2 linked regions of the Notamacropus eugenii genome follow. The protein of the gene in region 1 interacts with the protein of each later gene in a biochemical or structural test. Links are inferred from orthologs where the notes say so. Each region holds a gene or a part of one and is shown on either strand. Other genes may lie near its edges.

Evidence for each region.
Region 2: the proteins of CFLAR (region 1) and DEDD2 form a complex in vitro, tested with the Homo sapiens proteins (2 studies listed by BioGRID). The link is inferred for Notamacropus eugenii from reciprocal best matches to the Homo sapiens genes CFLAR and DEDD2.

The regions. Positions count from the first base shown.
Region 1 is NC_092877.1:297,262,473-297,274,879, forward strand, and holds the start of CFLAR (CASP8 and FADD-like apoptosis regulator), read left to right. Parts: upstream 1-6,490; 5' UTR 6,491-6,958; intron 6,959-12,407. UniProt on the Homo sapiens protein: Apoptosis regulator protein which may function as a crucial link between cell survival and cell death pathways in mammalian cells. Acts as an inhibitor of TNFRSF6 mediated apoptosis.
Region 2 is NC_092876.1:25,998,596-26,010,552, reverse strand, and holds the start of DEDD2 (DNA-binding death effector domain-containing protein 2), read left to right. Parts: upstream 1-6,740; 5' UTR 6,741-6,755; coding exon 6,756-6,883; intron 6,884-7,025; exon of another isoform or gene 7,026-7,932; intron 7,933-8,343; coding exon 8,344-8,723; intron 8,724-9,545; coding exon 9,546-9,656; intron 9,657-10,763; coding exon 10,764-10,898; intron 10,899-11,957. Other genes in the region: ZNF526 (zinc finger protein 526), read right to left, coding at 3,421-5,160, 5,700-5,774. UniProt on the Homo sapiens protein: May play a critical role in death receptor-induced apoptosis and may target CASP8 and CASP10 to the nucleus. May regulate degradation of intermediate filaments during apoptosis.

The sequences.
Region 1 (12,407 bases):
AGTGCTTAAAAATAGCGATGATATTCAGACCAACCTCCTAGAGGAGCATAATAAAGAACCTAATCTGTGCAGATATAGAACTATTCTCATCATGAAGGTGAATCATAATTCACCTATTTGACAATATTTGGACTTCACTAAAAATATTCCTTAACATAAAGCCTACCAATGTTTATTTCTGCATTGTGTAATCCAACTAACTGTAATTCTAATAAAATTATAATTATCCATTTCTTTATGTGTTATTATTACCAGACCAGAAAGGCAGCACAGCTTAGTGGCTAGAAGTCTGACTTTGTCACTGTGCTAGCATATTAAAAAAAATTAGTTCAAGTGAAAATATTCAGAAATAATATTTTCTCTGGCTGAAAAATCCTTTCCAGACTTTTCCTTTGAGAAGAGGAGAACAAAAGAGCTTTTCTGGAGAGTCCAGTTAGATCAACTCAACAAATATTTATGAAGGACTTAACATGTGCCAGGCACTGTGTGAAGTGAAGAAGACATAAAGAAAGTTGAAAACAGTTCCTGACCTAATGAATACGAGTGGGAAAAAACCCTAAACAAAAAGTGACTTTGATCCTGTAAGATACTTGTCTTCCCTGTCCCCAAAGTCATTGGGTTATGTTGTTGTTCAGTTGTTTCAGTCGTGTCTGACTCTTTGGGACCCCATTTGGGGCTTTCTTGGCAAAGATACTGGAGTGGTTTGCCCTTTCCTTCTCCAGCTCATGTTACAGATGAGGAACTGAGGCAAACAGAGTTAAGTGACTTGGCCAGGGTCTCATGGCTAGTAAGTGCCTAAGCCCACATTTGAATTCAGGTCTTCCAGACTGCAGGCCTGGCACTCTATGCGCTGTGTCACCTACCTGCCCCTATTGGGATATGAGAAGACACCTAAAGGAAGTACCCTTTTCTCACTAAAGAGGAAATATTCTCTTCTTTTATTCAGAAAAGATCAAAATGTTGATGATATTGATCTAAGGTAGGAGATTCTTGGGGAGGGCAGTCAAAGAAGGAATTGAGTAGCTATGAAGTGACTTGTTCTATTTGTTGAAGTAGGATGTTAATTCTAAACTTTATTTTAACATATTATAACATTTTCCTTGCTCAAGTTTCCTATAAATAATACCTCAAATAGTATTGGGATAGAGAAATGGCAAAGGGTATAGGGTGAAAGACTACTTGTACAGTTCAAAGGCTTCTCTTTCTGTAGGTTAAAATGTTTAGATTTAGAATACTGTTAAATCAAATTTTAAAGGTTTCTGGTACACTTATACCTAAAACACAAGGGTACAATATTAAAACATGTAATTACCCATATGCTCAGACTTACCTATTATTTACTGTATGTTTTTAGCATACTTTTACTTTATTGTTTTCTTTTCAATATTTATTTTCTTCCATGTTCCTGCCATGCATAGAATTCCATGGATACATCCGTCTGTTTTGTTGCATATGCAGTTTTGTTATTTGCATTTATGTTGATTTTTCTGTCTCTAGGCTTAATGATATTGCTGCTGTTTTGCTATCATTTGACCAATAAATGAGTAAATATTGATTAAGCACCCATTACATGCCAGGCACTGTGCTAAGCATCCAGGATACAAAAAGAAGCAAAGGACAGTCCAGGCCTTCAAGGAGTTTGTGCTTTCTTAGGAGCATAAGTAGAAGGATTGTCCTTGGTAAAGAGAAAGTCACCTCTTCCTCAGAGACTGGAGCAAAGCAAGTAAAGACAAACAAAGGTATAGAGGGGTTTTTGTCTATGAAACAAGGGATATTTGGGAGCTTACCCAAGGTGTCCTCAATTTTCTCGGAACAGTAAGAAGAAAGGTCACCTACTAAGAGAATGGGTGTAGAGTACAATTAGAGAGCTTGGGGAGAGGAGAGAAAAGTCTTGCAAGATAAAGAAGAGAGCCTATAAGTCTATTAAGGAATATTACAAGGATTGCAGTGCAATTGGGAAGGCCCAGTTTATATTAGATAGCATAAATTTGTAGTTGAGTCAAAAGAAGGATGGTGGGAATGATCCAGAGGATGAGGATGCTTGGCAAAGCATGAGTAGTGCCAGGATGAGGGGACAGTGAATTCAAGTGTAATAACAGCTGACATTTATATAACATTCATTATGTGCCAGGCACTGTACTGAGTACTTCTACAATTATTATCTAATTTAATCCTCACAAAAACCCTGGGAGGTAGGTGCTATTATTATCCTCACTTTACAGGTGATGAAACTGAGGCGAACAGAAGTTAAGTGACTTGCTCAGGGTCACACAGCTAGTAAATGTCTGGTAAGTCTAAGGCAGGATTTGAATTCACTTGGCTTTAGACCCAGCACTCTACTCACTGATAGTAAAGACTGATAGTCTCTACCCCCTGCCTCTCACCATAAACAAGGAGAACAGGAAAGAACAGAGGAATCAGAGATCAGAGTTAGAATGAAAAATGGGGGTGGAGGGTGGGAATGAAACAGAAAAATAGAGGATGGGAAATGATGAACGGAAAGGAGGATTTCAGAGTTCAAGGTCATAGTGGTGAAATATAAGGTATGACCACTCATTCCTATGGGTTAATGAGGTGGAATAAAGATCTAAGTCATAGGCATTGAGGTATTATGAACAGGGAAGCCATGATGCTGGTAAAGTCCCACCCTGCCATTCAAATTCTTTATCTTTGTCCCTTACATGACATAGGTGGGGACATTTTCCATATGATAGTCACATGCATAGTTGTATGCAACTATGGGGGTTGCCTCTCTAGCAAAACATAAGTTGGAGAGTTGAAGGACGCTGCCTTCTAGTGAGTGGAGTTACTGACCAGTACCACATTCTTGAAAAGAAGAGGATTGTACATGTGGAGCCCTCCGCAGAGAAGGAGTACAGCTATTATGTTGTTCAATCATTGTGTCTGACTCTTCACAACCCCCTTTAGGGCTTTCTTGGCAGAGATACTGGAGTGGTTTGCCATTTCTTTCTCCAGCTCATTTTGTAGATGAGGAAACTGAGGCAAACAGGGTTAAGTGACTTGCCCAGGGTCACACAACTGGTAAGTGTCTGAGGCCAGATTTGGACTCAGGAAGATGATGTCTTCCTAACTCTAGTCACTGCACTCTATCCATTTCATCATTTAGCTGCTCAAAGCTATTATATGGGAGAAGCAAAAGACTTTGCTCTTACGGAGTCAGGAAGACTTGAGTTAAAATCTAGCTTCAGATATGAATACATGACTTTGGACAAGACACTTAACCTCTTTGATCCATAGTCTCCTCATCTGTAAAATGGTGATAATAGCGCCTACCCCTCAGTGTTGGTATGGGGATAAAGTGAGGTTATATTTCTAAAGCCCAGAGAAGTTCATCAGCATTGTATGTCAATTTCACGATGGCATCCTGGTCCGGGTTCTAGATAATGGACAATGCTCTCTTGCCTTCCCAGTCATCAGTGGAGTGAAACAAGGCTGTGTGTTTGCTCCCATGATTTTTAGCATGATGTTTTCAGCCATGTGGTCAAATGCTTTCAATGAGGATGAACATGGCATCAAGGTCAGCTACCACACTGATGGTAAGTTTTTCAATTTGAAAAGGCTACAAGCCAAGACCAAAGTAGAGGGAGTGTTGGTACATGATTTTCTGTTTGTGGATGATTGTGCACTCAATGAAGCCTCTGAAGTAAGATGCAACAAAGTATGGATCAATTCTCTGATGCTGATGCTAATTTTTGCCTAACAATTAACACCAAGAAAACACAGGTGCTCCATCAGCCACCATCACACCATCCATACATGGAACCATTGGCTACAGCAAATGGAGAAGTTTTGAATGCTGTGGATAAGTTCACTTGCCTTGGTAGTGTACTTTCCAGGGATGTATACATTGACAAGGAGGTTGATGCATGCATTGCTGGCGCTAGCTGGGTGTTTGGGAGGCTCCGAAGAAAAGTTTGGGAGAAAAGAGCGATTAGACTGACTACCAAACTGAAGGTCTACAGAGTTGTTGTGCTGACCTCATTGTTGTATGCCTGTGAAACATGGACAGTCTACTAGTGCCATGCCAGGAAACTGAATCACTTCCATTTGAACTGTCTTAGGAAGATTCTGAGGATCACCTGGAAGGATAAGGTACCAGACACTGAAGTCCTTGCTCAAGCTGAACTGTCAAGCATTCAAGTTATGCTTCAGAGAGCAGAACTCCAATGGCCTGGCCACATTGTTTGAATGCAAAATGTACACTTGCCAAAAAAACTGTTTTATGTAGGACTCACACAGGGTAAGCATTCACATGGTGGTCAGAAGAAATGCAAGGTCACACTCAAGGTCTCTCTTAAGAACTTTGGAATTGATTGTATGACTTGGGAGTTGCTGGCACAGGACTACTCAGTATGGCATGCCTACATCAGAGTAGGTGTTGGGCTCTGAACAAAGCAGAATTGAAACAGCTCAAAGGAAACTCAGGATGTACATATTTAGCATCTCCACCTCAAATGTTCATACCGACCATTTGTGCCTGACCTGTGGTAGAGCATTCTGAGATCATATTGGTCTGATCAACCACAGCTGGACACACTGAAACCTGACTCTAGCACAGTGATGTCATTTGGGTCCTCTTTGAGAAGGAAGGTCAACAACAACCATTTCTAAAGCACTTTTGCAAACTGTAAAGAATTATATAAATGTTATTATTTAGTTATGAAGACAGTGCAGATTCAGTAGGAAGGAGAAGGCTTACTTATCTTTTCTAGAGAAGTCTAAATCCTTAGAGACTTGAGCCTTTAGCTGCTCCAAATTCATTTCCCCTCCAGGAGGCAGTCCAAACCACAGACTGATGCCAGAAGTCCAGACAATTGCACATAGGCCATAGGGGGAAAGGTGGAACTCATTGGGAAAAAAAAGAGGAAACAAATCAACTGTTTATGGGCTATTATGAATTCTTTATGTTGTTTTGTACATTCTGTAGGATGGAATAAAGGTTATGTTCCTATGGGATCTGGAAACCTTTTTACTCACATCTGTGTAAACTTATCAATGAGTTGTTTGAGCCATATAATAATAATAGTTAACATTTATGGAGAGCTTGCTTCCTATGCCTTTTTCATAATCAAGGAAGAAGTCAAATTGTGCTGGCCAAATGAAGCAATATCCTGTTTTAACACTGCCCAGCCTCACCAGTGTACTCATGAGTACATTTTCCCAAAATACTGTCTCCCTTTGATTTAGTCACACTTCTGCTTTAATAATGACATGTGGGGAGGGGGAGGGTGTGCTAAACTTTGGCAAACATTTTGGCAAATGTAAGAAGAATCGATATGGGTCTTCTGTTCCTCAAACTAGTGATTTCAGGGTAGGATCACAGGCTCATTATAGCATCATAACAGCACACATTTCTTTAGTACTTTATATATATTGCTCATTGGAGACTTCCTATAACTTCTTTGAAGTAGGTGTTACTATCCTCACTTTTCAGGTGAGCATACTAAGGTTCATTGTTGTTAAGGGTCCAGGATTACACAGCTGGTAAGGATCTGAGGTAGGAAAGAGTCAAACCTAAGTCTTGGATCATAGATTTACAACTGGAAAGGACCTCAGAAACCATCTAATGTAGTCCTCACACACACACACACACACACACACACACACACACACACACACACACACACACACACACACACACACACACACACGGAAAGGAAAGCCCAGAGAAGTAAAGCAACTTGCCCAAAGTCAAACAAGTAGGAAAAGCAGTATTGGAAATAAATTCATTTGAGACTTCAAATAACGACGGTTAAATAGGCCCACATTGCCACATTTCCATTGTTATGGCTCAACACAAAATAGCTTTAACAATACAAAATAAAGAAAGAAAAAGACCCTTTTCATCAACTTGAAGAGGAAAAAAAGGTTAAAAATGGAAAAAAAATTGACCCTTCACAACAAAAGCTTTCCATTAGATCCCAGGTTGAAGGGTGAGAGTGGGTGGGGTATGAAAATGGGGATTAATAATGAGACAGCTCTGCAGGCTTTGCTCATGCATAGATCATTACTTTAGAGTCGGGAAGGAACCCCAAAGACTGTCTAGTCCTCCCCCTCATTTTACAGACAAGAACAAGCAAGGTTAAATGACTCATCTATTAGTCAGAGGTCAGACAGGAATTTGAGCAAAGGTCCTGATTTCACTACCAACCCTGCCCCCTCTGCCCTAGAGTCAGCCCTTTGCTCTTTAACTAGAATGTAGGGGAGAGCAAGTAAGCATGGATCATGCCTGAACCATAAAGGTATCGATGTTTCACGTTACTAGTAGTACTTAGGGCTTCAGGTTATTCCTCTACAAAATGAGCAAAACCTTATAAGCTGCTATGTTCACAGGATCCCAGATTTAGAACTGCAAGGAACCTGAAAGAACGAGTTCAATCTCTTCTTTTTACAGATGGGGAAACTGAGGCCCAGAGGTACCTGCCCAAGGTCAGACATGGAGTAAGCTACACAGAGGTATGTTAAACCTCTAAATGACTCTTCCAGCTCGAAATCCCTATGACTTTAAAAAAAAATTTTTTTATTGATGTCTTTTGAGTTAACATAGAGTAAATTTCCCCCGATTCCTGTAACTTCGAACTAGCTACACTAATTATTAAAACCTAATCACAAGAGACCCCGATTTTGAACTCCAGCAATGGGAGAACTACTGCTGGGCGTGGACAAAACCCTAGATCCGTCACCTCCGAGTCCTCAAGCCTGGGGTTGGTCCTGCCCTCCAGTGCTTGGGCGTGCGGGATAGGAGCTCTTGCCCCGGTGCTAAGTTCGGGATCGTAAGCGGCAAACTGGGTAAAATTCTTGTAAGAAGCTGCAGTCCAAGTTCTGAGGAGTGGGCGCAGTGGGCACTCTGTTGGGCTCACTGTTGGTCAGATAGCTCACTGGTCAGAACCTCACTTTCACTTTAGGATTCTGGAGCTCCGGAGCCGCAGTTTTGAGGGTGAGTTACTTACTCCTACCACCCTTGCCCCTTTTTCTTTAATTTTCCTTTCCTTAATGCTGTGAACATGTCTACTTCTGATCTGTCTTTTAAAGGGGTTTAGGGAGGGGAGGGAGGGCTGCTGGCAGACGGTTCTTATCTGAATCATAGGTGGGTTATTGTGTGTTTGTGTTTAAATCATCATTTTGCCTGACCTTTCCTTGGCAGTGGTCCCAGACCAGCTGCTGGCTGGATCTGGAAGGAAGCACAGACTAGAGACCTGGAAAGAAACGAGACATGGCATCCTTCTCTTGGGAGGTACTGAGGATTTCTTGTCCCGAGAGAAGGAGGAACCCTTTTTTCTGTCCTGATCTTTGTGTCCTTTTTAGACCCACTGAAACTGGGGTTGCCACTCAGTTTACGCCGATCAGAAACTTTAATTTGTTTAACACTGAAACAAGTGGCTAGCACGCAGGAGTCTGTGAAATTCGGCAGTTTCCGTTTCTCACTTTAAATAGTCCTAGAAGAGGCAAGACGTTGGTGTGGTTGTTTTTCCTTCTATTTGAAGAGGACCTTGACTTCCGGGGAATGGGATATCCTAACTTGCAAGTGAATTGGATTTAAAAGAGGCAGGGCTGAACTGTGCCTACGTGGTTTCATTTTCCAAGGACTGCTTATTTTTGAAGTTTTACCCCTCCCTCAAAAGGAAAGGTTTATGTGTAAAGGGAGGAGACTGAGTTTATTTGTGTCCAAGGACTATTCTTTATTGTTTCACAATTGTGTTTCTCAAGGTAGGCATTTTGACAGGGTGTGCCGGTTCATGTTTGCTGAGTGTTCCAAGTTGATCAGTCTGTTTTTCTCTTCAGAGTAAAACATCACAAAGTTGTTACTTTAAAGCTTCCAAGTAATTTTAGTGTTACAGGACTGATAGCTGGAAGGGATCATTAGATCCCTGAGAGATCATTCTGTCTAGTCCAACTCTCCCCAGTCCCTTTTTTTTTTTTACAGATTAGGAAACTGAGTCCTAGAGAGGTTTCCAGGAAGCCTCTAGGGAAGGGAGCTGAAACTTGGGTGACCCTAAACAGGTCCCTTGGCCTTGGGCCTCATTTTATTTATAAAGTGGGGACAATAGTCCCCTTAGGATCCACCTTAAAGATTTGTGAGGAGTGTGCATTTTGTTTGGTTTTTTAAAAATGTATAGTTTGTTTTTTACACTAACAGCCTTTACAACTATAACTTTGTACACCTCTCTCTCCCTCCCCAACCCAATATGCACCTCTCAGAGAGCCATTCCTTATAACAAGAATGGGGAAAGAAGTTCAGCAAAACTAAGCAATATATGGAAAAAGTCTGATGTTATTCTACACAGTGTTCCATACCAGGGTGTCTTCCACCTCTGCAAAGAAGGGAGGGTGCATTTTCTAGTCTCTTCTACAGGCTAAACTTGGTTATTATAATTTCAGGTTGTTTTTTTTTTTTCAGGAGAAAATCATTCTTTTTATAAAACTGAGTTTTTACTTTTTTTTCCTATTTCTCACATTATCATGATATTTCACGTATTCCACCCTATACCCCTTCCTGAAAGCCATCTCATGTGACAAATAGTATTTTTTAAATAGGAAGAAAAGTCAGCAAAACTGTTGTTCAGTCATGTCTGATTCTTCATGACCCCATTTGGGGTTTTCTTGTCAAAGAAAGAGTACTTTGCTATTTCCTTCTCCAACTCATTTTATGGGTGAGGAAACTGGCAAACAGGGTTAAGTGACCTGCCCAGGGTCACACAACTACTAATTATCTGAGGCCATGCTATGATGAGTCTTCCTGATTCCAGGCCTGGGACTGTGACACATACCTGCCCTAGCAAAATTGATGGATAGATTCAAAACGGTCTGAAGAAAATATGTGCAATGTGTAAACCTTCTACCTGCTCAAAGGTGTAGGGTGGAGGTGTCTGCTGCTGTCTCTTCATTTGAGTTCTTTTTGATCTTTATAATTTTGTTACATTTGCTTTTGATTTTCTAGTATGTTTTCAGTGTACATTGTTGTAGCTGTTGTATGCATTGTTTCCTTGGCTCTGCTTACTTCAATCTGCATCATTTCATATAGATCTTTCCTTGCTTCTGTGTATTCATCATACGCATAATTTTTTACAGCACAGCAATAGTTCATTACATTCATGTACCACAATTTGTTTGGCCATTCTCTGATTGATAAGTATCCACTTTGATTTGAATTCTTAGTTATCATAAAAAAAAGTGTTGCTATAAATATTTTGGAGTATAGACAGTTCTCACTTTAGGTAAATGGCAATTTTTACATAATACAAATTTCCCCCCTCTTCCTATGGGGAAGAGAGAAAGACAGGAAGAAGGGGCAAGCACAGGTTTCAGGAGAAGTGAGAGCAAGAGGACGAACAGATGGGGACAGAAACTGAGAGCCACACATAGACTCAGATAGGAGTGGTTGGCAACAGGGGCCAGGAGACAGGGCAACACAGACTGGGACAGATGGGGTACCTCAGCCAGACTGATGAAGATTGATGTGTAGCAGGGCAAAGGTTTCCTCTCTGGTCAGCTGCACTAATAGTGGTGTTCTCTCTGCCCTTCTACTTTTACTTCAAGGGTTTTTTTTTTTTCCTGGTGGGGGGCGGGGTACTGCAGAATTCAGAACTGAGGGACAGGTGGAGAAAGTGAGAGCACAGTATTGTACAATAAAGCTAACACAGGTATTTTCGGAAAATGTGGATTTCTTTCGGAATTCTTTATCTAAGCCAGAACTGCTTGTATATGGGAACTATCAGGAGGCTCCTTGGTGTATAAACCCAGTAATGGAGTCTCTGGTTCAAAGGGTATGACCATTTTGGGTACTTCAATTACATAATTCCAAATAGATTTCCAAAAAGGTTATACTTTTCACAACTCTATCAACAATGTATTAATGTAGCCAATCTTTCCACCAGCTCTTTAACATTGATCATTGCCATTTTTTGTCATTTTTGCCAATTTATAAGATGTGAGGTGAAGCTTCAGGGTTGTTTGGATCTGCATTTCTTTCATTATTAGTGATTTGGAGCATTGTTTTTCATGTGAATACTTTGCAATTTTTTTGAGAACTGTTCATATTCTTTGACCATTTATCTATTGGGGAATGGCTAATAGTCTTGTACGTATTTACTGATTGTTTATATATCTTGGATACCAAACCCTTATCAGAAAAATTGATGTAAAGCATTTTTTCCCATTTGACCACTTCCCTTCTTATAGTAGCTACATTAATATTGTCTATGCAGAAGTATTTTCAGTTTCAAGTAATCAATCTATTTTATCTTTTGTCATTGTCTTTATCTCTTGTTTGATTAGGAATACATTTCCTACCCATAACTATGAGAAATAGATGATCTGTTTGTCTTCTAATTTTTTAAACAGTATGATCTTTAATATTAAGATTGCATATTTATTTAGAATGTATTGTGGAATATGGTGTAAGAGAAATATATTTTTTAATTCAATTTTATTTTTTTTAGGTGATAATTCTTTTTAAAGCATTTACAATATAGACCACAAAAGAATTTTTTTTAAACATTAACCAACTGAGACACAAACAATATTTATGTATGCTAACTTCACAAGCCTAATTGTCTCCAAAATATTACTAAGAATTAAAGGACCCTAACTTATTGGTGTTGGTCTAAAGTCCTAAGCCTAATAGCTTAATTTTAGACTTAACCTCGAATGTTCCCCTACCAACAATCTATAATTTAATAGATCTGGTATTAAGCTTACAAACCTTTTGAATATAGGAAATTGCCACCAAGAGTAGGGACATTGCAGGGATATAATATCTCCCCAACTTCATGTCAGTTCCAGGTAGGAGTAGATTGTCAACTTGCATTCAGTCAGTCTTAAAGTCTGCCAGGTGTCAGTGGGGAAATTGAGTCAGGAGAATCCTTCCTCAACCCAGGCTGAACAGCCGCTCTCCCACCCTTCCCATGAGATCACCTTTTTCAGTTCATACCATGTCACCGGCTTACTGGCATCATGGATTGGAGGCTCAGACCACCTTTCTTGCTCCCCATACCTGGAGTTAGACTCAGAAGAACAGTCACTTAATAGTCCCATAGCATCTTAAAATAGCAAGTTCCAATAATCAGGTTTCATATATGACTGTCATTTCACTTTGGCTAAGGAACATCTTCTGAGGCAAGTCTTAAGTGGCTTACATGCCTTTCTATACATGTTCTAGTTCCTGATTAAATAACAATCATAAAATCAGATTTATCATTAAAACCTTAACTTTTCCATCAATGCCAAATTTTACCCCGCAGTTACCTGCTTCTAGGAAATTTAGACTAAAATTCTTTTCCCCAAACTAAAGATGTCTTTGATTTATTCTCAGTAATTAATTCAGTCAATTGTTTTAATACTACTTGCTTTTACATCATTTTGTAATATGTCCATTTTTCTCCCCATTACTCCCCTCTCCCTGCTTCCTAATACCTTGCATTCTGATTACTTCTTCCTTCAATGAACTATCTATCCCTTCTATCATATCCCACCCTTCCCTTATCCCCATCTTCTCTCTTTTCTTGTAGGGCAAGATAAATTTCTATACCCCATTCCCTGTGTTTCTTATTTCCTGGTTATATGCAATAAAAATTCTCAGCATTCGTTTCTAATACTTTGAATTCCAGCTTCTCTCCCTGCCGCCCTCCCTCCCTATCCCCACTGAGAAGGCAAGCAATTCAATACAGACTAAATATGCGTCGTTTTGCAAAACTTCCATAATAATCATGTTGTGTAATACTCTAACTATATTGCCTCTATCCTACTCTATCCCCCTTTATTTTTAAAATTGTTTTATTCTCTCATTTGACCTTGTCCCTTCCCAAAAGTGTTTATTTCTAGTTACTCCCTTCTCCCATTTGCCCTCCCTTCTATCATTCCCCTCACCCCACCTGTCACCTCCTCCCCTACTTTCCTGTAGTATAAGATAGATTTTCATACCAAATTTAGTGAGCATGTTATTCCCTCCTTCAGCCATATGTGGAGAGAGTAGCTTTACTTTTCCCCTCTCCCCTTCTCCCTTTTCTCCTCCATTGAACAAGGTTTTCCTCATCTCTTTTATGAGTTATAGCCTGCCCCATTCCATTTCTCCCTTTCTCCTCCCAGTATTTTCCTCCCTCACCCTTTAATTTTTATTTTATTTTTTGTGCGGATATCGTCTCTTCTGATTCAACACAACCTGTACTCTCTGTCTATATATGTGTATGTGTGTGTGTGTATATATACAATCCCTCCACCTACCCAAATACTGAGAAAAGATTCAAGAGTTATAAATATTTTCTTTCCATGTAGGAATGTAAGCAGTTCAGCTTTGGAAAGTCTTTTATGATTTCTCTTTCCTGTTTACCTTTTCATGCTTCTCTTGATTCTTGTGTTTGAAAGTCACATTTTCTATACAGTTCTGGTCT
Region 2 (11,957 bases), on another chromosome or scaffold:
ATGAAATGCTGAATTTGGTGGAATGAATGTTAGGTGATGTATTTTGGAGGAAAAACAGTTAGACGTTTGTGTGAGCCAGCCACAACTGCTGAGAAGATCATGGGGTCCCGAATGAGAGATTTGTTGTTGGCCATTATTAGACCATGGCTGGCGTGTGAGCTAATCCCTTGTCAAACCTGGTGATGGTCCTTGAGATGCTGCCATGTTACGCTGTAGTGAAGGACCTGGAGAACAGAAGACCATCTTTAATTGGTGGAAATAAGGGAGTAAGAATGTACAGAGGGCCTACTGTGTGCCAGATATTATCTTAGTTGGTCCTCACAACAATTGCCGTTTTGAGGCAAGCGGAGGCTGTGACTTGGCCAGTCACACAGCTAATGGGTATGTGAGGCCAGATTCAAGACTGTCTTGGTTTGTTGACCTCTGCAGAGCAGATTTGGGCTCATCATAAAGTAATTTCTGAACAGAGCTTCCCAGAGGTGAAGGGGGTGACCTCGGAAGGTAGGGGGTTGCTTTCCCCTCATGAGACATGTGACTGGGACAGCTGATCAGAAGCAGCAACTCGTCTTTGTCTCCATCTCCGTCTTCCGCAGTGTTCAAGCTGAGGCTGGATGTAGGATTTATGACTCGGGTGTAACCAGGCTTAGATCAGGCTTCAAGTATGAGGGCCCCCGTGCTCCTCCACAGCCTGAACCAGGTGAAGGTGGAATCGGGAAACGTTTAACAAAATAAAGAAGAATGCACTAAAGAAAGTGTTGACGTGGTTTTCTCAGGCGCTACGCAGCCCACAGGGATGGCTTCCTGCATCCCTCCCCTTGCTATTGGAGCTAAACACCACTGGCCTTCTCGTCTTCATCTTCATCCTTTCTCATTCTGTTGTTGGGAGCCTTCACATCAAGGGCATCCCTGGTGGGGCTTCACATTGGACCTGAGGGCATCTAAAGTTATCCCTTCTGAACTGTAACCTGACCAAAGTCACAGCTGGGATTAGAACACAGGGCCCTGTGCCAAGTCTTGTATTCTTCCCCTGGATCAGCCTTTCATTGCCCCATGGGAAGCCAAGGGTCCATTTACATCTGACCTTCTATCATTGTGGCCTTGGGCATCTCTGGAAAAGATGGCTCCAGTAGTGTTCATGGGATGTGCAAGTGTTGGGGGAGAGGAAGTTGAGGCTGGGTCAAGAACCATAAGGGCCCACGTGATGCTGAACTCCGAACCAGCAGGGTCTAGCCCGAGGGTGGCAGAGTAGGGTTGTGGGAAACCCTGAGTGGGCTCAAAGTTCAAGAGCAGACTCAAATCAGGTTTGTGCCACTCCCTGCTTGGGGCACCCTGTCCCCTTTCTGGTCTGTTTCCACCCCTCCCTCTTTCCTTCCCTCTGCAGCCTGTGACTGGGGGCCCCCTCTTCTGCTGAGCATTTTCTAATCCTGAGGCTTTTCTGACCCCCTTTTTCCTGGCTCTCCTCTGACTGACCTCAGTCTCCTCCAAGGCTGTGTTGTGAGCCCTCTTCTCCCACCATAGTCTGCTGTGTTTCCAGGTTTTAACCACCAGCTCTATAGACGCTTCTCAGATGTTTGTCTAGCCTTAACCCCTCTCCTAATCTGGAGTCTCCAACTGCCTATTAAGACATCTTAAATTCAGTATATCCCAAACTGACCTTGTCATCTCCCTGATCCTCTGTCACGGTAGAGGGCAGTACCATCCTCCCAGACCCTCAGGCTCCCAACCCAGGAGTCATATTCCAAGCCCTGCCCTGGTGCAGGCCTCAAGGCCTTACCCCGATCTACTGCCAGACTGATCTTCCTAAAGTCATCCCGTTGCCCCAGCCATCCAGTCAGCCCCAATGGATGACTCCCTGCCATCTCCATGAGGAACCCTATTAGGCTTTTAAATAAAGACCTTTATGGTCTCCATGTAGGGACAGTGTCCCCTACAAGACCCTGAATCTCACTGGCCGTGCTCGGGCCTGGCCCTCTCAGCCTCCTGGCTCCCTTGATCTCCCACCAGGCCAGTGCCTTACGTATCCCCAACTGATCCAACATGTGTGGTTTCAATGGGTTCGTTTGCCCATTGTTTCCCCTATGACTGTGCAACTTGGAGGCAGACAGCCATTTGCCTTTTTTTTGTATCCCAGTGCCAAGCACATAGTAGGCGTTTAGTAAATGCTTGCTGACAGACCAGGTGACTTTTCGAGTTTTTCTTTATGCGATGGCATTCCTGGGCTGATATTTGGCAATCCTAGGACACTGCTATGGAGGTACTCAATGTCAAAGGAGGTGCCTCTGGGTGGCTCGGATCGCCCCACCAGCCCCTGGAAGGTGGGCTAAACATGTGGATGGAGCAATTCTGTTCAGCTGCCTGTGTGTGGTGGATTCCTTGGGTTCCCTTGAGTGCATTCTGCCCTGTAAGGTTTCCTTATCTGCTTAAGGGCCACTCAGTAGAGCAGAAAGGGACAGTCAGAGGTGGGTTTTTGTCACAAGGATGACCTGCTCAAGTTGCCAAATGTGAAGACTTGATTTCCTGCTCTGGAAAATGGGAAAGCCATCTGCCTGCCCTCCACCTCCCATTGTGTTGGTAAGGTTAGGACTTCATGGTCGACCTTCTACCAAGGCAGATGCTCTTGGGAGCTCTCCCTCTCCCCAAATGCAGATTTAGAATCCAGTTTCTTACTCTGCTGCGCTTGTGAGCTGGTGCCCCAAAGGGCACAGGATTGACCGGCTGGTCATTCATCAGCAAGGATAAAGGGGGAGGGGGCAGCATTCACATTTTTGGTTTTTGTTTGGACTAGGCATCAAAAGCTCCTGGTAACCTTGGGGGGATGGGCAGAGACGAGAAGGTGGACCACACCACATCCTATGACCTGGGGATGTTCCACCTGGAGAGGGGGCAAGGGGGCAGCAGGGAATGGGCTGCCCTGGGTAGTCCAGCCAGGAGAGCTGGCTGACCACAGGTCGGATGGCTGATTAGACACTTGTGGGACAAGGTGTGCTAGTGCTAAGATTCTCTGTAGGTCATTGTGGATGCTTTTTGGTATCCTGTGGCCATGCAAGGGCCTTGGAAATCAGATATCACAGGGCAGCTAAGGACTATGACCACCACAAGGCCAAAGGACATCCATCTGACCTCCAGGAATGTCTCCTCTCCCACATCAGGTATGGAGAAATAAGCTCTGCAGTGTGAGCAGTCTTGGTCGCCCAGAAGCTCAACATCTGAGGCAGACAAGAGGAGCTCACGTTTGGCTTCCACAAAGGTCCCTGAATTCTGGGAGCCTTCATTTCCTGACCGATAAAAGGAGGGGTTGGCATGGTCTTCTCTCCTTCTCAATCTATGATTATGTGGAGAAGCCAAATCTCTACTTCATTAGCATAATGACATTAATGCAAACGCATTTATTAAGAACCCAGCCCGCCCTGTCTTAGCCTGTCACACAAAAGCAGCATCCAGGTGTAACAACCCGCCAGCCCCCAGTGCCACCTGGCATAGCTGCAATGTGTCCACCAGAGCAAGGGGCTGTGAAGTCTCAATGATAGCAATGGTTTCGCCCAGTTCTGTGCACATGATGGTCTGCTGTGGGGCTGGGGGGTTGGGGGCTGCCACAGGTCTGGGCTGGGGTTTGGGCTCATCCTGCCCTGGATGGCTCTGCTGGGAGTGCCGCTGCCCAGCCCGGCCCGCTGTCCCACAATGAGTTGCCCCCTTCCCGCACAGGCTCCGGACTGAGGCCAGACGAGCTTGGAGACGTGAGGCTCGGGAGAAGGCTGCAGACCGGCTGTGCAGCTGCCGGTGCTGCTGCAGGTTGGAACTCTGGGTGAAACGCTTACCACAGTCGGGGCAGGGGTAGGGACGAGCCCCCGTGTGGGTCAACTGGTGGCGGCTGAGGTTAGCTAGTGAGGCGAAGGTCTTCCCACAGGCATGGCACTGGAAGGGCCGCTCTCCTGTGTGTGTACGAAGATGGTTGCGCACGTGGACCAACTTCTTAAAGCCTTTCCCACAGACCCCACAGCGGTGCCGCCGCTCGGGTGGGGAGTGCACGGCCCTCCGGTGCCTGGCTAACCGGGCCGCAGAAGAAAAGGCCTTGGCGCAGTGCGGGCAAGACAAGGTGGCGGGGGGCAGTGGGGGTGGCGGTGGTGGCGGTGCAGGAGGTGGTGGCGGGGGTGCCCCACTCTTGCCTGCATGGGTCCGCCGGTGGTAGAGAAATTTTGTCATGTTGCTGAAAGTCTTACCACAGGGGCAGCGGTGGAGGGGATTGGCCGTGTGGGCCCTGCGGTGGGCAATGAGAGTGAGCTCTGTCCCAAAGCCCCGGCCACAGTCCACACATAAGTAGCGGGCCTCGCCCCGGTGCAACCGAAGGTGCTGCTCCAGGGAGGAGGCTTTCTTGAAGACTTTGGAGCAGGCGGGACACTCATGGGTACCCCCAACGTGGGCACGGCCGTGGGCCAGGAGACGGTTGGCAGAGCTGAAGCCACGCTGGCACTGGGCACAGCGATGGAGGGCTGTGGCCGGGGTGTGGGTCGCCCGCCGGGGTCGCCGCAGCTCCTCCCCCGGTCCCCAGGCGCCCTGGCCATCGCTGCACTGGTGGAGGTGGATGGCTCCCTCATCCTCGGCCACCGCCCCCTCCGTGCAGGGGCCCTCCTCCTCCTCCCCTCCATCAGCCTCTTCCTTCTCTAGGGAGGCAAAGTGGGTGCCTTGGTGCTCCAAGAACTCCTCGGGGGTGTCCAGCAGCTGCGCACACTCGGGGCACTCGTAGGGGTCCATCGTGGCTGCGGGCGAGGGGGGCGCGGGCTCTGCCTCCTCAGGGGCAGGGCAGGCCTCGCAGTGGGCCAGCCAGAGGTCAGGGGACAGGAAGAGCTCCTCGCAGTTGCCGCAGTGGTACTGGACCTGCCCCTGAAGGGGGCCGATGGGGGGGTCGGCGTCCTGGGTGTGGGCATCCTGGTGGGCCAGCAGGGCCTCAGGCGACAGCAGGAGCTCGGAGCACTCGAGGCACTGGAAGTGGCCGTCCTCGGGCAGGGCGGCGCCGGCTGCAGCTGGGCGGCGCTCGGGGCCAGGCTGGTGCTGCTGCTGGTGCAGGAAGACCTCCTCCAGGGTGTTGTAGAGCAGGCCGCAGGCCGAGCAGATGTACTGGTGCTGCAGCAGGAGCGGGGCGCCAGGACCCGCCCCCTCCATGGCCTGCGTGCGGGGCGAAGGGGGGCGCTCAGAGGAGCCCCCCGTCCCGGTCATCCCCTCCTGCCCTCCACCCGCGCCGGGCAAACTGAGGCAGGCAGGGGCAGGGACTTCCCCGAGGTTCCACGGCGCCCCCTCGCGGCTCACTGAAGCCCCCAAGCTGGAGCGGGGGCGGGGCTCAGGCCCCGCCCCTCCTGACCTCGGGCCCCTCCTCTCCGTCTCCAGGGCCGCAGCTGCCAGGGGCTGGGACTCGGCTTGGCCCAGCTGGGGGGGCTCTCCTCCTGGGGGGCTCTCCTCCTGGGGGGGCTCTCCTCCTGGGGGGCTCGGCTCGGGGGAGGCTCTCCCCCAACTGCTCTCGTCTCTTCTCTCAATCCTTCCTCTCGGGGTCTCTCCCTCAATGTCTCTCAGAGTCTCGTCTCTGTCTCTCCTCCCTCAGTGTGTCTCCCTCCATGTCTCTCTGTGTCTCTTGTCCGTCAGTGTCCCTCTGTCTCTCTCGCCCCCGCCCCGCTCCCCCTTCACCGGGCTCCTCCCCGCCCCCTCCTCACCGCCGTTGCAGCTCCCGTTATCGCCACCGCCACCGCCACGACCGGAGCGCACCCCGCACCATCGCCGCCTCCCATTGGACGCCGCGGGACCCAATAGGCGCTGGGGCGGGGGCGGGGCGAGGCGCACAGGGGCGGGGCTAACGGGAGTTCCAGGAGGCGCAGGCGCGAACTTCTCCCAGGACGGGACTGAAGGGGAGAAGGGCCTCAGGCGCAGGCGCAGGCGGACCAAAGCTACTGGTTTTGTTTTGCGCCACTAGGCCGCGCCACGGTGCCCGGAGCGCTGGGCTTGGAGCCAAGGAGACCAGAGTCCTGAAGCGAGCCCAGATGGGAGCTGTGTGACCCTGGCCCGATCACTTCCCCGGTTTGCCTCAGTGTCCTCAAGTGTGAAATGGCACTCGTAATAAGCACCTACCTCCCAGAGCTGCTGTCAGGGTCAGAGGAGAGAAATGCTGTTTCCCCGCCCCCCCTTCCTTTCTCCTTCCAAAACTTATATATAGGTTGGTTTTGTCCTACTGCGGAGGACAAGCGTGCTTGGCTTAGAGTCGGAAGACCTGGGTTCGAATCCTGATTTGCATCCTTAGTGCCTAGGTGACCCGGGAAAGCCACTGCTCCCCAAGGTCTCTTCCTACTTGGCATCTATGCACCTCCGCCCTACCCTTTAGCCCCACCCTGGGTCTCCACCCCAGACGTAAAGAGAGGATTAAGTAAGTGGTCATTTGGGGAGCAGCTGAAGCCCAGGGGCAGGGGACCTAATTCACCCGACTCTGGCTTTGCTGGGTTTGCTTCTCTCTTTATTTCTTATCTCCTCCTTACTTTACGTCCGGAGTACTCGACATCCAGTAAGCGTTTAATAAATGCTTATTTGACTTCTAGTTGAAGCGACTTGGGGGTGGGGCACAGCTGTGCCTGGGTGCAGCCCCTAAAAGGAAGGAAGTTTGTGTTTAGGGAGGCTGGGGACAAGCTGCCCCACCCTGTGACTGACGCCCAGACCCGGGACCAATTTGAGTCTGCCCTACCGAAGGGCCCCCTGCCTCCCTTTGGGAAGGGGGGGTGGAAATGAGTCAGGGTGGGCGGGGACAGAGGGGACCTCCCTCCCCTCTTCCGGAGTGCCCACAGCCCTCCTCCCTGTGCCCGGGGCAGCTGCACCGAAGTAGCCGCAAGCCACACATCTGGAGCCTTGGCAGGTATGAGGACCTCCCCTTCCCAATCCGTGCGCCCGCCAGCCCCAGGTGGGACAGGTAGGGGCCTGGGGGGGTGGGAGGAGAAGGCCTAGGCTGTGCCTAGGCTGGGGGAGGGCAAGCTTCTCCGAGGAAGGGGCTCTTCCACCTAATTCTGCGTCCCCAGCGCCAAGCGCAGTCAGGTACGCATCAAGTTCTTCACCAGCGCTGGCTGACTGATTGATTGATGATAGGTAGACTCCGCTGGGCTTTTCTCCCCCCTCTGTTTCCCAGGCAGTATTCTGTCCAATAGGGCGGTGTTTATGTCTTGGGGTTTGTCAAACCCTCATTGCTTTGGGGGCTTGTTTACGCGACTGGTCTCCTTTTAAATCGTGCTTCTGGGTTGGCCGAACAGAGAACTTATACTTAGGAAGACCTGAGTTCAAATCCGACCGCAGGCCTTTTCTAGCCGCTTCAGCTGCCCCTGCCTCAGTTTCCTCCTCTGAGAAGTGGGGCTGATTGTCGGCGACGTTGTCCGCGGGCTGGCCTGGGGATTCGGAGGTAGGCAGGGATGCCCTTGGGTCCGATTCCACCAAGCACCGCCGGTGGACGGCGCCGAACCTGCCCATTCGTTTTGGCTGTGGGCAGGAATGCCCTGGGGGGGCACTTATGCGGCGCTTTACGTATGCCGCTTCCCCTCCCAGGTGGCTGCTCTGTTATCCCCGTTTTATAGGGGAGGAAACTGAGTCCGAAGTAGGATTTGGAGTCCGGTCTTTGTTATTCCCAACTCCCAAGGGTCTTGCAGGGAAGGGGGGGCGCTCAGACGCGGGCCAGGCCGACCCGAGAGGAGGGTCACCGGGGCCCGAGGAGGGGCTGGGCCCCCAGTCACCCCATCCTCGGGAGGAAGTGGCATCAGCCTTAATTTACAGTTGACGAAACTGAGGCCCAGAGAGGGGGAAGTGACTCGAGGCTGGGAGGGGCGGCTTTGACCTCAGGTGAGTTCAGGTGTCCTGGGGGAGAAGCCCAGTCTGCGTCCGCATCCTCCCCGCCTGCTCTCCGCACGCGCATGCTCAGCGGACCCTCCCCGGCAGGTGTGGGAGGGGACGAGGGGCGGGCAGGTGCACGAGGAGAAGACCCGTTGCGCCTGCGCAGAGCTAGCCTGGGCGCCCGCACCTGCGCGGGTGAGTGGCCGCGGGAGGAGGCGGCGGGGCGGGGCGCTCGCGGCGCAGGCGCGGTTGCGGAGAAGGTACGAGAAACAACCCCGGCGCTGCAGCCGGCGGGAGGCTCCCGGCGGACGCGACCCCCTGGGGCGGGCCGGGGCGCGGAGAGTCCGGGCTGGGCCGTCGGCCTGGGCCGGAGGGGGCCGCAGGGTTCGGACGGAGCCCCCGGGACGTGGGAGGGGCCGGGGGGTGCCCGCCCGAGCACCGGGGCAGGTAGCGGCGCCCTCCCGGAGGCTGACGGCCCTCCCCCGCCCCTCTCTGTTCCAGCCCCCCTCGGCCGCGGGCTCCCCCAGACATGGTGGGGCCCCGGGGGCCGCGCAGCCCCTGCTGGGAGGAGGATGCCTGCCTGGACTACTACGGGCTGCGGTCCCTGCACCGCGTGTTCCAGGTGGTGGGCGCCCAGCTGACGGAGCAGGAGCTGTCCGTGCTGTCCTTCCTGCTGGCCGAGGCTGTGCCCGCGCCCCGGGCCGGGGAGCCCCGTCCGGCCCCGCTGGGGGCCCCGGCCCGCTCCGGGCTCGAGCTCCTGCTGCAGCTGGAGAGGAGCGGCGGCTGTGACGAGGCCCAGCTGGGGCCCCTGCGGCAGCTGCTGCGGGTGCTGGCCCGCCAAGACCTGCTGCCCGGGCTGTCCCTCCGGCGCGCCAGACCCGGTATGCGGGGGCCCTGCGGGGGCTGTGCGGGGCGGGAGGAGACGCGGGACCGACGGGGCCCCTCCAGGGTGAGGGTTTGGTCGGGGAGGGGGGTAAGCCGCGGACGGAGCCAGCGTCCAGTCCCAGCAGGGGCCGGAGGGACTCCGGAGGTCATCCTCCGCTGGCCTGAGGACGGAAGCCGGGTGCTCTGTGGCTCTTGGTTCAGCAGGAAGGAGGAGGGGATGGGAGAAGATGAGCCAGGCTTGGAATGATGGGGGATGCTCTCCTTTTTGGAGCAGGGGGCGCTTACCGGCTTGGGAAGGAGAGCTGTGTAGGCATCTCTTGGGGAAAGCCCAGAGGGTGTGGGCCAGCTAGGTCATGGGGTTCTGGGACTTGGAAGAATAGGAGATGGGTCATGGGGTGAACCTTCTCATTATATTATGGAGGAGGCCTGGCACAGCCAGGCTCTAGACCCAGGGCCTCTGGCTCTAACTCAGTGTTCTTCATACTTTAACCAGCACCAGGACCCATGTTCCCAGAGCCCTGCCTCTTCTCTTTCTCCACCATTATTCCCAGACCACTGACGGTCTTCCCCATTTTAAGCCAATGTTGTCTCTGGCAGTCATGGCTCTCTGCCTGGCCTGGAAATGGGGGCATCAGCTGGGCAGGGGAATGGGCAGCTCCAAGAAAATGGATATCATTCTGGGCATGGGGAAGTTCAGACCCCACTTGGAGGAAGGCTGTGGCCTGGGAAGAGGCACAGGGCCCAGGGATGGATGGGTGGGGGAGCTTTGGCATCTGGGCTGGAGTTGCCCAGTGACTGTCTCCTTTTCCATTCTTCAGTGTCTCCTGAGCGTTATGGCTGTAATTCTTCCGGGTCAGACGTGGAGAGGCCAGAGGGTAGCTGTCTGGGCTCAGCCAGTACAACTTCCCAACAGGCTCAGTGGGAGGCAGGTAAGCCAAGCAGAGTGGGGTGTCTGACTTTCTGGGTCTGTGTAATGGGGTCTCTGCAGCTGTTAATGAACTGATGTAGTATGATAGATAAAATTTACTTATTGAAATATTGGTATTTTAGTAGTGGTGTGGCATAGTGAGTAAAAGACTTGGGTTCGAATCCTGCCTCAGATACTTATAGCTTTGTGACCCTGGGTAAGTCCCTGAATGTGTCTGGGCCTCAATTTCTGCACTCTAAAAGGAAGGGATTGGACTCAACCCCTAAAGTGCCACCCAACTCTAGCTCAATGATCCCAGGAATATTTCTGGGCTCACAGGCTGGAGAATCAGTTCAAATCCCAGCTCTGAAGTAGTTGCTATTATGGTTTTATTTTCTTTGTAATTCTTAGATTGTGGGCAGCACTGCCCCTGGCTCCTACAAGCAGCAAAAAACAGTGTCTTGGATTTAGAGGAAGGGTCCTTGCTTTCACAGGGGCAGCTAGGGGGTGCCATAGTAGATAGAGCACTAGGTCTGGAGTCAGGGAGACTCATCATTCTGAGTTCAAATATGGTTTCAGACACTTACCCAGCTTTGTGACCCTGGACAAGTCACTTCATCCTGTTTGCCTCAGTTTCCTCACCTGTAAAATGAGTTGAGCAGGAAATGGCAAACCACTTTAGTATCTTTGCCAAAACCCCAAATGTGGTCATAGAGAGTTGGGCAGGACTGAAAAGCTCCTGAACAAAAAGTTTGCTGCTTTCCTTTCCCGTTATTTTCTGGCTCATTGCAAGGCTCTGTTCTCCTGCCCTCTCAAATTTCCCAGCTTTGGTTCTTCACATCTTATTCCTGTGTCTCCCACCATCCTTGGTTTTCTTCTTACCTTGCCTCAGTTTATGTATTAGGAATAATAATCCCTGTTTCTCTAGATTTCCCTTAGGACATCCATGAGAATGTCACTGCCTGCTCCCTAAATGGGATGACAAAGTTATAGAGGAAGGCCAGCTGGTCCAGCCCCCTCATTTACAGGGAGGAAACTGAGGCCTGAGGCAGTGCTTTGTCCAGGGTGACACAGGCAGCTGGTACCTGGGGAAGGATTTGAATTTTGCCTAAAGCCCTTTGTCTGGCAGGTTCACCTCCTGGGAAGAGGCAGAGAAGAAGCCTGGGCCGCTCCAGTGCTGCAGGAAGGCGGCGGCGGGGTCCCCAGGGAGCATCAAGGTCCAAAAATCCTGGATCGTCTCCTGCTGCAAACAAAGTGACCTGTGGTGAGGGCTATGGGCTGAAGGGGGCAAGGCTGAGCAGGGCACTCATTGCTTCCCACACCCCTCTAGCACTGGAGTTCTTTGAGAGCTCGGAATGCCTGATTTGGGAACCGAGCATTTGGGGGGAGGGACAGGCGGGGTTATCCAGTTCTGTCGGCCTGAGTGGTTTAGGAAGGCCATTGATGGAGCCCAGAGCCGGGCAACCAGGGGGGCCTCAAGTCTAGTCTAGTATGTAGTCTTCATGTCTGAAGGAGCTGGGAACATCTGGCCTGGAGGAGGCAGTGGGATTGGGGTATGAGAGCTGTCTGCAAGCACCTGAACTGAACAGCTGTACTGTGGGAGGAGGTTACATTTTTCTGTTTGGCCCACAGTGTAGAGGCAAAGTCAGTGGGGGATATTACAGAGTGAGAGGCATCTGGATGTGAGGGGGGGAATAACAAACAACTTCCTAACAAGTTCAGGAGTGGAACGGGAGGGAGTGAGCTCCCTGGCCCTGGAAAGCTTCCAGCCCAAACAGAGAAGGGCCCTTTGGCTGGCTGTAGGCAAAACCCTGGGGAGGTGGGATAGACGGTGTTGAGGTCACTTTGACCTTCAAGATGCTGTAATTATGTGAAATCGGAATACACAGTACCAGGGGAGAAATGAGAGATGGAAGAGATGGGAAGGAAGGGATGACCCCTTCCCCTGTCACATAGTTACAGATTGTCAGAGCTGGGAAGGGCCTTGGAACAAGGGATGTCAGGGCTGGGAGGGGCCTTAGAACAGAGACTGTCAAGTCTTTAATCCCTAGCCCAGTCCTGTTTTTTTGTCAACTCCTGACTATTCTGATCATTCATCCCCCAAACAAATGATCTCAAGGGTCTCAGAGAGCAGGACATGGGATGAGAGATTCCTTGGCTCCGAGTCAGAAAGCTTGGGTTCTTGATTTGCTGTGACCTTGAGGGGAGTTTTCTTCCTCTACAAAAAAGGTTGTGTGGGTTAGGTAGTTTTTAGTGTCCTTTCCAGATCTGATGGGCTGGTGTCTGTGTGTGCATGTTCATGCCAGTCGTTAACATATATTAA